Drosophila melanogaster: one gene and its partner. Changing the gene in region 1 together with any one later gene gives a genetic interaction. Each region holds a gene or a part of one and is shown on either strand. Other genes may lie near its edges. The genes, in order: Acf and Chrac-16.

Region 1 (8,033 bases):
TCACTCTTACTTTTAATGTCCAGTGAAACACACATAGCTTAGATTTCATAAAAAGTAATAATAACAATGCAGCATCCAACACTTTTTTCTCGATTAAGAAAGAATTTGGCAAATTAGGTTCTTTAAGCAATATTTTTTTTTTTGCGATCAAATCGTCTGTTTTAAAAACTGGCAAACTCCATCTACCCATTTTTCCTGCGTTTATACAGAGCTAAGCTCTTTTAAAATTTGTATTCATTTAATTTTAGCTTTTTACACCTCCAACAAAACAATTTTTTTTACTTATTTATTTTGAATCGTTTGTTTCCGGTCACTTCATTTATTGATTGTGGAATTTTCGTAGTGTCTACAATAATTTATAAATACATAAAGTCTCATAAACCAACAGATAAGGATTTTTTGCATATGCGTGTGCTGAACTTAGAACTGACATGCACGAAAATAAAGATCTTTAAATACACTTAATATTTGTGCTTAAATATATATGGTTTTCAACTACGGCTTAGAGTAGACTAACTAATTTACACGATAGCTGGTGGAGATCAGCGTCCGGCTCAGCAAGCTTTGACTTCCCCGTTCATATCGCTAGGCCTAAACGGTAGCTGCATGTCCCTACATCGATCGATCACGAATCGTTCTAGTTGACAACCAGCGCTGCAACGGATTCAAGATAAAGGATAAACAACAAGACCACTTACGGATTATCCCAATCTACTCACTCGTATATTTCGTTGCCTTCTACGTTGTACAAATCGCAGTTTCTAAACACCAACTGAATGTCGCTGAGCAGCTCCTCGTTTAGCTGGTAGGCGCCCATGTTTAGCTTGGATTTGATTTTAGCTAGATCCATGGGCGTTTTGATGATCTGATGGTAGTCGGGAACCTCCGATGTCAGCACTGGTCGCAGAAACGGCCAAGCGGCCTTGTGCTTCATGATCTGCTCAAGCAGATCGTACAAGGCGGCACTGTTCAACGGCATGTGCTCGTTCGTCCGACGCCCGCTTCTGCGATGGTTGTTGTTATTGACGCTGCTGTTGTTATTATTGTTGTTGTTGTTGCCGTTGCTTGGGCGGGCGGTCTTGTCGATAGATAGGCGCAAAGAGTTACGTGGTCGCTTTGCTTTTGGCTCCTCCTCATCGCGGTCATGATCACCATTCACTTGTTGGACAGAAATCACACGGGCTATTAGTGAGCTATTCATTAAGGAGAAATTTGTGGACTTACTGTTACTGTGCCGGCGCCTAGGTCGTTGTGGCATCGGCTTGCAGGTTTTACAAACGAAATCTGTGCGAGGCGGTCGCTTGAGGTGAACACATTCCAGGTGAAAGAATAGCCTGCATTGCACACATTTGATTTCACCGCCATCGTAGAAACACTTCTGACACACCTTTTCCTCATCTCTGTGGATTGCAATGGGTTCATTATCTAAATTTAATTTTCAATCCAGTTTTTAACTTACGACTCGTCTTCGATCGTATCTTCACCGGCGGTTAAGGATGCGTCATCGCTGACGTCTCCGCTGTCAACGTCTTCCTGAGCATGTTCTTCGATCTCTTTCGAAGTAAGTCTTCTGCTTGTTGGCCGTGTGCGGGGTCGCCTTAAAATTCGCCCATTGACTCTGGAAGATGAGGGGGTAGAGGTCACACTTTCGTCGTCCTCAACGTCCTCATCGTGTTTTTCGTTCTCGTGCTCCGCATCCTCATCGGTCATATCGTCATCCTTTTTCTCTTCCTCTTCTTCGTCTGTAGCTTCATCATCCTCCTCTTCTACGATAAACTTGCGTTTCTTCTTTGTCGCCTGCTTTTTATCCTTTTCGTTTTGACCATTGCTGAGACCCAGACTCTTTACGCAATCATTGCAATACCAGTTGCCCGGGGGTACAGACCTCAGCTTAGGCTTCAGGCAGAACATGTGAGTGCCAGCGTTGCATTCATCGCACAGCAGCATCTTCTCCGGATCGCTGCCACGCCTGCAGACCTTGCATAATGACTTATTGGTGGAACGCCTCCACTGAATACAGTCGTGCAAGATGTTTAGGTGCAGAAAGACTTGAGCAAAGCTTGTACTTTCCATTAGCGAAACTTCCCACTGGTGCAAACGCGAGTCGCAGGCAAGTTTTAAAGCCTCCTGCTTGGGGTCCCACTTCTTCATGCCGTAGGGTTCCTTCAGAAACCGTTTTCCAATAGCCTGCTCCACTTGCAGAAGGGCCGAGGCCATGTTATGCACGGCGATAGGAATCGAGACGGCATTCGTATGCTGATCCTCCTCATCGTCGCTGTCTGGTAGGGGTTTTGTGTCTGCAGAAGCTGCCAAATACATGCCAGGATCGCGATATGGTTTCCTGGCATATTTACCTAATAGTGCGCCATCGTCCTCCTCGTGAGTTTCGTGGGATTCGTTGTCAGAACCAGCTTCATCTTCCAACTTGCCACCCGGGCCCCACTGCAACTTGCACTGAGCGTCGTAATTGCCTCCAAGCAAGTCACTTCGCCACTTTTCCATATCCTTAACTTTCAGGCGGCCGAGATCACCAGTGTAAATATCATTTTCAAATTGAATAATTCGATCCACTAAATGCAAGCGCATCACTTCGTTTAGATCGGTCCCATTCGGTAACCCAAAGTTTGCTTCTCCGTATTTACGGTTAGTTTCAGATTCCATCGCCGCCATAAACTTCTTGCGCATTGTTTCGTTTTCTAGACTTAGCAAGTCTACTGGGCAGGTCTTAGCATGCTGTTCGATTAAGGAACGCAGAACGGATAGCTCTTGAAGGAGTTCATATTCACGGAGACCATTGGGATTGAGAGCCTTAATTAATTCATCGATCTCCTCGGCTTTGTAAATATATGCCCAACGCTGCCGTTGCCCATTTCTTGAATCATGCACAATACAAGATCGTTTGTCACCACTGCACATCAAGAGCTCAAAATGAGTGGGAGCCTCTGGAGAATCAGATTCGACATCCATGGGTTCTGCACTGCCGTTAAGGCGATGCTCTTGGTTCTCCTTGTTCTCTAGAGAGTGCTTGGCCTTTTTCTTAGTTTTCTTTTCGTCGTCTCCGTAGAGTTTGAGTAGATATACCCTTAGGTCCTTGCGATTCTTTGGCAATGCAGACTGCTGACGAATTTCTATTTGGGACTTATTTGTTATTGGTTGCTCCAAACAAGTGTCAAGGCTGTCCGGCGAATGCTCGACAAAGATCCCAGGCATAGACTCCAAAACGTAATATTTCCTGTAGCACCTATCCATGCCCAAGTAAACCAAAAAATTGAAAAGCTGCGAATGCAACTTAAGCATCTGCAACTCGTGCTTGCGATGTTGCTGATCCGATTGGGCGTGTAGCTCGGCAATACTCTTCTTTAATTTCTCGACCAACGCTTCCCTCTTTTCAGGCTCAACGCCATTTACCTCCAGGTGGTGCATTTGCGTGAGTTTTTTCCTGTTTATCTCTACGGCGGCTAATCTCTTATTTTCCCCGACAACTAGAGCTCGTAGATCTTGCCTGGCCTTTGCTGTTTGCTCCATACGCTCCTCAATCAAGTTAATCGTGCCCGAGTATGTCATAATTTGGGACATCAGGCAGCGAATCAGGAGCATTATATCCTTAAACTTTAGCTGATATACGGAATGATTTTTGAGAATGCGCAGGATGTGCGAGTGTTCCAGACGTAGTTCCAGACCAGGGTCTTCTTTTGACGAGTAGCCATTCCGGTACATGACTCTCCAGCGCTCCGCCTTTTCATTTACAAAAGCTCCGGATCCAAGTAGATGCAGTCGTAGCACTTCACTGAGAGTCAGTGCATCTAATGGTAGTTCATTTACCTATTGGGAAAATAAAATTAGTTTAGATAACACACGTCGGCACAAACAAAGTATTGACCTTAAAGGAAAAGTGCCTCTTGGCGTAAAGGTGACTTTTGGCGGCCTGCGCCATACTCCAATAGGGCTCCTGAGTTTGTGCAGCCCGATCGAGGTAGGTCACTGCGCATTCCTCCTCCTCTTCTTTTTGCAGATCGAAAACAGTGCCAAGCAGAACGAGGAGGATGTCCGATAGTGGGCCCGCAATCTCACGAGCAGTCAGTGCACGTGTCATCTCGTAGAAACTGAGGTTCTGACGGAACACCTCGATGCCGGACAGCAATCCTGTGTAAGTGTGCATAAACTCGCGCATCATGAAGGCATCACCCAGGAGGTGCTCAGGCAGCAATGTGACGATCTGTCTGTAGCGGGGCAGGACTTTTTGGTCGGTTCTCTCCAGGTCGTCCGTCTTTTGAAGCAGTAAATTACATTCGTTTTCAACGCGTTCAATCAACTGTGCCTTCTTTTCCGCCTTTTGTTTTTCCAACTCAATAAGCTTGGCCTCTTTTTCTCGCTTAACCCGCTCCAATTCCTCTGCCAGAGATTTAGCATCAGACTTGGCCTTCGCCTTTGACTTTGCAGCCGTTGCTTCACCGGCGACAATATATTTGTTGAGAGTGGATTGCTTCTTGCCGTCAGGTTTTTTAATCTTAGCGGGAGAATAACGTGGCATTTTGCCAATGAAAATTGTGGAGAAGTTTACGCCAGGGTCCGTCACGTACTGCTTGTATGCCTCTGGCTTGGGTCGAAGAAGTCCATCCACCCGCGATACATTGCTCTTTATAAACATACTCAGGTTTTCCAGGTTAAACTCCATGCGCGAGCGACGTAATTGCCTAAAGGGCAGATCAAGCTCTGCACTGGGATCGCCCTTGTTTGGTCGTAGTCTGTAGACCAGGTTGTCCGTGTCCTCATAGATACCATTGAGTGGTTCCGGCATATTTTTGTCCAACTTGACACCCAACACCGTGTACGTGGCGTTCTTCTTAGCTTGCACCGACACCTCCTCGCCGATAAAGTAGCGCTTGCGCAGAAACTTGGCCACTATCATGTTCAAGGTGTTGACCGCCGACTGTTGGGCGTGCTCCACAACCAGAAGGACGGGTGCCCGAAGGCTCTGTTTGAACTGCTCCATCTTCTTGCGAGCCGCCCGCTCACTTTTGACCGCCTCCTCGTAGGTGAGGTTCTCCTTGCCGGTGGCCTCGCACTGCCACACCGTTGAGTTGATCACCATCACGTGCCGGAAGTAGTGTCTGGATAAATAAATTTAATCGATCAGCGTTTTAAGGTCAATTTATTTTGATATAATTGAAGCTTGTCAGAGTAAAACATATTTAGTATGTTTGCTATTTATTAAAATAGTTTCGCGCTACCCAGCCTCTTAAATAATTGCTGATCTTAAAAATATCTAGAAGGATCATATAAGTCGAATTGGGTCAACAAATTCCAAATTCAAGAGCGCGCGCTTTGGCACCAGGTGGCAACTCCGCGGCGAGCAGCTGTGCGGCGGCAGCTGTAATTTCTTCCCGCCACCGAACAGCGTTTTTTTCGCCTTTGGCCCACGAGACTCGCACACTTATGCACCCCTGCGAACACACACACACACACACTGAATGGTGATGTACGGTACATCGTGTGCAAATGCTTTTGCAGCGTCGCTTTTGTTGTATACTTTAGCGCAGCGTCCACCTAATGGCAGGAGAAGGGAAGGGGCAGTTGCAGGAATGGTAGCAGGATGCACTTACTCATAGTCGCGAAAAATGCGCTTAGTGATGTAGCAGCAGAAGACCTGGTCGTTGTCGTGGAATGTTTCGTTCTTGCCCTCCTTCTGATTCAGGTCGAATCCTTCCCGCTTGCAAATGGGCATGTTTGGTGTTTTCCTTTTGCTCTTGAATGTCCTTAAGTTTAAATGGCAGTCCTTCGAAGTGCACGTTTAACAGTTCACAATAAAAACAACCGCGGAGCAACTGATAAATTTTACAACGCCAAGCGACAAGCGCAAAAGGCGCCCAACTTTTCACGCCTTTCCGGAGGGGCTTTCGATGCAAACGGTTTTCCAGCGATACGCGCGTTGACTTCCGACGCAATTATACAAGCTGTCGGCGGGCGACACTTTTCCGACAATTTCTACTATGTTTGTGGCTGGCTTCCTCAACACCAACTACCTAAATCCGTTTATTTTATAGCGCACAATCTATTTTCACGCGCATATTTTGGGGCCTATCGCTCTTCGACGTTAAACTATCGGTTATCGAGTTTCTGCGAACAATGTTACCGAACTTCACGAGCGCAGAAAACCGTAAGGACGCGGTCGGATGGATGTCAACAGTTCGATAAATAGTCCAGAATAATATAACGGTAATATTTTTTATGGGTTGCAACTTAAAAAAAACACAATATACGTAATATCAATTTCCCTAAAAGATATTGATGATATATGATAATCCCCAAAAGATATATGAAACATTAATATTTTCAACCATGCATCTCGTGAGTCGCCCATCTCAATTGCGATCTTGTGCGTGTGCGTTTTTCCAGCTGTGATAAGCGACGATCGCACACTTGCTCTGAATAAAGTATATTTGTTATTTATTCTTACAATTAATTCTACTAATAATGTACGCCAGACTGCTGCGAAACTTCGGCGCAAACGCCAGGTGAGGGAAATGATCGGCAGTTCTTTGTTAAGGCCGCTAAATCAAAAGACTTAATTTCGTTCTTGACGATTACATAAACCTTGCTAATTTGTTTTGGCTTGACGCAGGTGCTTTGCAACAGAAGCCAGCCCAAAAGTTCGGCCTATCAGCAAGATCCTTATTTCAAATCGTGGTGAGATCGCATGCAGGGTGATTCGAACCGCACGCAAGCTGGGAGTTCGTACCGTGGCCGTGTTCTCGGATCCGGACGAGAAGAGCATGCACACGCAGTTGGCAGACGAGTCGTACCGCGTGGGGGAAGCTGCCTCCTCGGCTTCCTATCTTCGCGGTGAACGCATCCTGGACATAGCCAAGCGTTCGGGCGCCCAGGCCATCCACCCAGGCTACGGCTTCCTCTCCGAGTCCGTCGAGTTTGCCGAGTTGTGCCAGCGTGAGGGCATCATCTTCATGGGTCCGCCCAGTTCCGCCATCCGGGACATGGGGATTAAGAGCACCAGCAAGGCCATAATGGCCGCTGCTGGGGTGCCGATCATCAATGGATACCATGGCGATGATCAGTCAGATGAGTGTTTGCAGCGAGAAGCCGACAAAATTGGCTTTCCCTTGATGATTAAAGCCGTCCGCGGCGGCGGAGGCAAAGGCATGAGAATCGCAGAAAAACCGGACGACTTCCTCACCGCTCTGAACTCAGCTCGCACCGAGTCCGAGAAGTCGTTTGGCGACAGCTCTGTGCTTCTGGAGCGGTACGTCCGATCTCCACGCCACGTAGAGGTTCAAGTATTTGCGGATCAGTATGGTGATGCTGTCTATCTGTGGGAAAGAGATTGCTCCGTGCAAAGACGTCATCAAAAGATTATTGAAGAGGCGCCAGCTGTAAGTGCACAAGAGCTTCGGCTATTTTAAAAATAATGCTCATTTATACAACAGCCAGGTTTGTCGGAAGATTTGCGTCGTGAGCTGGGCGAGGCTGCTGTTCGTGCAGCGAAAGCTGTGGGCTACGTAGGAGCTGGCACCGTGGAGTTCATTCTAGACAAAGAAGATCTCTCTTTCCACTTCATGGAAATGAATACCCGCCTGCAGGTGGAGCATCCTATAACGGAAATGATTACGGGCACCGATTTGGTTGAATGGCAGATTCGCATTGCCGCCGGTGAGCCATTACCCCTGAAGCAATCTGAGATTACGCGGCGTGGCCACGCATTTGAAGCTCGCATTTATGCAGAAAATCCTCGCGGAGGCTTTCTGCCCGGAGCCGGACCCCTGCGATATTTGTCTACTCCCCAACCATCAAACAACGTTCGCGTGGAGACGGGTGTCCGAGAAGGAGATGAGGTGTCTGTGCACTACGACCCCATGATTGCCAAGCTAGTCGTTTGGGGCGAAAACCGCACACAAGCGCTTAACTCATTGGTTGCCCGCCTGGGTGAATATCATGTGAGAACATTAAAAATTTGTACCTTTAAGACATTTCCCTAAAGGTAAACCAATTTTAGATATCTGGTCTGGACACTAACATTA
Region 2 (3,625 bases), on another chromosome or scaffold:
ATGTAGTTGCATGAAGTTTCGTTGTTCGAGCTGGACACCACGTTGTCCACTCGGTACGGCGGCGAGATGGTGACTTCATTTAGGATCTGTATGTTAAGTCCTTGCCAGGAGACTTCATTGTACTACAAAATAGTAAAAGAAATAGCAATGGTTAATGATGATAGGGCATCGTGCAAGAGGTCATTACCCCGTATTGTTTGGCTATCGCTCTATAGAGTTCCTGCGCCTCTGGACTGACATCAGCATTCTTAGACTTCAAGTAGTCCTGTCTTCGCTCAACTGTTTTCCTCAGACGCATTTTGACCTGTATAAGCAATATATATATATATATATATATATTTATGTAAGTGGTCAGAGCTGGCATGCTTACCTGTTCCAGATTAAGCTTTTGCGGATCATCAAAGTTGCCGTTGCACTCCTTGATCACCTGCACGTTGCTGCAGAGCGAGAGGTTCATCGCGTAGATATCACTCAGCTCCTCCGTGGACTTGGATCGGCATTCTATGCGGTTGGAAAGGGAAGAGAAGAGCAGGAACGGGGGGCAAAGATATACGATGTACGGAGAACCAAATTGTCAAGCAGTAAACAATGGGTTTGATAAGAGATAGGTGATATGTGAATGCTATCAGTTAAGATGAGTGTGAATTAGAATTATATACGAATCTAAAGGACAGTGTGACTTTTTGTCCAGACAGCTCAAGAGATCCCTGTGGACAGCCGGAGAAAGTGCTCGCTTTCACCCGGCGGGCAAGTTGTGTGTGTGTGTGGGTATGCATTTCGGGGATTTCGTTGCAAAAGGATACTCAGGATAAGCATCTTTGTGTTGTGATCGAAGGCCAGCACCTCGCCCTCCACCTCCTCGTTGAAACAGGTCGTACAGACGACTGTGGATCCGATGCTGAAGCAGTCGTTCACTGCATTCACTGCGCTCGCAGCGGCAGCGGCCATTTTTAATTGCTGGTTGAGATTGGCCAACTGGAAAAGTGCACCCACAAGCTATGTGGATAGGGGATTCGAATCTAGATCTAAATGTCGATACTGGTTTGTTGGCACGCCGTTGCTTGAACAACGTTTCACAAACAGCGATGGTGATGATGTTGATGATTTTGCGGCAGCAGCAGCTGTTTTGGATGCTTGAATTCCTGGAATTCTCGAAAGGATTTAACTAGCTCTCTCGCTCGCTCTCACTCTCGCCGTCTGTCTGTCTCGTTCTCTCGTGCCGTGCAGCTCACTCGCTTTCACTTGAACCGCTCTAATGGAAATGTCGCTTCCTGGCGATCTGGTCGAGATCCTGCTCCTGCTTCCACTGCCCCTGATCGTCGCGTGAATTGGCCAAAAACTCGCTGGTTACTCGCTCGACTAGCTATCGGCTATCTATTTTGGCGGCAATTGCGGTTCGGTAATTGAAAAGTTGGAAAAGTACGCGAAAAATTTATTGGTCAACACACGAAACAACAGCCAAAAGGGGGCAGCAGAAAACGCAGTGTTGCACATGCCGCGCAGCGATAGGTTCGATAGTCATCGATTACGGAAGTCTGGCAACGTTGCTGCAAACAAATCAAGTGCAATAATAATTTATTGATATTTATTTATATGTGAGTTCGAAAATGAAGACAGATTTTTAAGCTATAAGTGTGAAAATCCAAAGTTGATTGCATACTGAAAAGACAAAAGTAGATAATATTGACTTGTCTAAATGTTGTTGCAATTGAATGTTTCCTTATAAATCGTGCAGATCCTAATCGTTTTACCCCTAATCTCTTGATTAAGTTAAAGGTATTTGCTTAGAGCGGTTTTTCCACTAATAAATTGAAATATTTGGAAAACTTTTATTAAATACTTGTTGTGGCTACCGATAGCATATCGGCGCAACGTTATTTGGTTAAATTCCCGCTCCAGCTAGAGCTGAAAGTATAGGCAAATCCGAATGGGTTTCTCAATTTTTATATATTTAGCGCTATAACTTAATTCTGAGAAAGTAACACATATATTATTGTGCACATCCAATTCCTTGCAAAAATAGAAGTATGCCAGCATTGTTCGTTTTAAGGGAAGCCCTGCGGTTACTTATTTTAAGTCTTCATAAACCATAACCATCGATAGCAAATAAAAAAAAAGAATCGATAGTGTCTCAGAAAGGTACGAATTTCATGCCTCGATTGTAACATCGATAGTTTCACAGCTCCACTTGTGAGCCCAGCTCTAAAACCAAAAAAATTCCCAAGCCATAGTTTGCTTGGGAATTAAGTAAACAAATGGGCGAACCAAGGAGCCAACCACCCGTGGAGCGTCCACCGACCGCGGAAACCTTTCTGCCCCTCAGCCGCGTGCGAACGATCATGAAGAGCTCCATGGACACGGGCTTGATCACCAACGAGGTGCTCTTCCTGATGACCAAGTGCACGGAGCTATTCGTTCGCCATTTGGCGGGCGCGGCATACACGGAGGAATTCGGCCAGCGACCGGGCGAAGCGCTCAAGTACGAGCATCTCTCCCAGGTGGTCAATAAGAACAAGAATCTGGAGTTTCTGCTGCAGATCGTGCCGCAAAAGATCCGTGTACACCAGTTCCAGGAGATGCTGCGGCTAAATCGCTCCGCCGGCAGCGACGACGACGATGACGACGACGATGATGACGATGAAGAAGAGTCCGAATCGGAATCGGAGTCTGATGAATAGACGGTCATGCAGATGTTTATCTACACCGAAATTGAGTGGATGATCTCCATTCACCAAAACATCGACTGATTTTTTACGCCACCTTGCTATCTTTAATTTTAGACTAGACGATAAGTATAAAATTGTTTATAGAACCACTGATTAATAAAGAAGCATAAGAGCACTGCGTCCTCCAAATGACCATAAGATCCGCGGATGATTACCGTGTGTCTGCGGCTGATAAGATTGTTGTTTGAAATCAGAGTAAAGTAGAGCATAGTCAACCTCTTTGTGAGTTTACATGATGATCCTGGATATTCCCAGGAGAGAATGTGATCCTTAAGCTGACCTTGAACTAGAACTGCAAAAAAGGATAACCTAACTAGCATGCAAAACATTGATAGACGCGATTTAAAACGTTAAAGAGCATAACATATAATTGCACTTGGATTCGATTGGTACATTTTACTGCGGCTAAGGATAGATAGAGATTGCAGCTCCTAGACCTTCAGGTTGACGCCGGGATAGCCGGTGGCGTTCAGTCCGGTCACCTTGTAGGTGGTGCCAGCTGGAGCGGGCTGATCGAACTTGGCGGCAGTGGTCACGTACAGGATGTCCAAGTTGGGGCCACCGAAGGCGGCGGAGGTAATCTGTTTGGTTGGGAACTTGATCTCAAGCAGAATCTTGCCAGTGCTGCAATGAAGTACGACATTTAACACTCGATCACGAATGTTAGAGTGAACTACTCACTTGGGATTAACCTTGTAGATGGTGGCGCCATTGAAGGTGGCCACATACAGGTTGCCCTCGGTATCGATGGTCAGGCCATCGGGCAGCAGATGATCCTTGGGACTATTCTTGCGCAGATTGAATATAACCTTGGGATTGCTAGCCACGCCGGTCTCGAAATCATAGTCATACGACTTCACCTCGTAGTCGGTGGTATCGATGTAGTAGAACTTCTTGGC

What was found.
Region 2: of Acf (region 1) and Chrac-16, changing one enhances a phenotype caused by changing the other (phenotypic enhancement), as found in Drosophila melanogaster (one study listed by BioGRID).

The regions. Positions count from the first base shown.
Region 1 is NT_033777.3:31,792,060-31,800,092, reverse strand, and holds Acf (ATP-dependent chromatin assembly factor large subunit), read right to left. Parts: upstream 6,113-8,033; 5' UTR 5,726-6,112; coding exon 5,604-5,725; intron 5,112-5,603; coding exon 3,881-5,111; intron 3,823-3,880; coding exon 1,460-3,822; intron 1,401-1,459; coding exon 1,225-1,400; intron 1,159-1,224; coding exon 720-1,158; intron 655-719; coding exon 555-654; 3' UTR 294-554; downstream 1-293. Other genes in the region: Mccc1 (Methylcrotonoyl-CoA carboxylase 1), read left to right, coding at 6,475-6,515, 6,623-7,388, 7,443-7,949, 8,009-8,033.
Region 2 is NC_004354.4:12,016,504-12,020,128, reverse strand, and holds Chrac-16 (chromatin accessibility complex 16kD protein), read left to right. Parts: upstream 1-2,167; 5' UTR 2,168-2,255; coding exon 2,256-2,678; 3' UTR 2,679-2,904; downstream 2,905-3,625. Other genes in the region: Lsm12a (LSM12 homolog a), read right to left, coding at 1-122, 188-304, 371-501, 804-948; regucalcin, read right to left, coding at 3,158-3,350, 3,408-3,625. UniProt on the Drosophila melanogaster protein: Histone-like protein which promotes nucleosome sliding of ATP-dependent nucleosome remodeling complexes. Part of the chromatin-accessibility complex (CHRAC) which uses energy/ATP to increase the general accessibility of DNA in chromatin.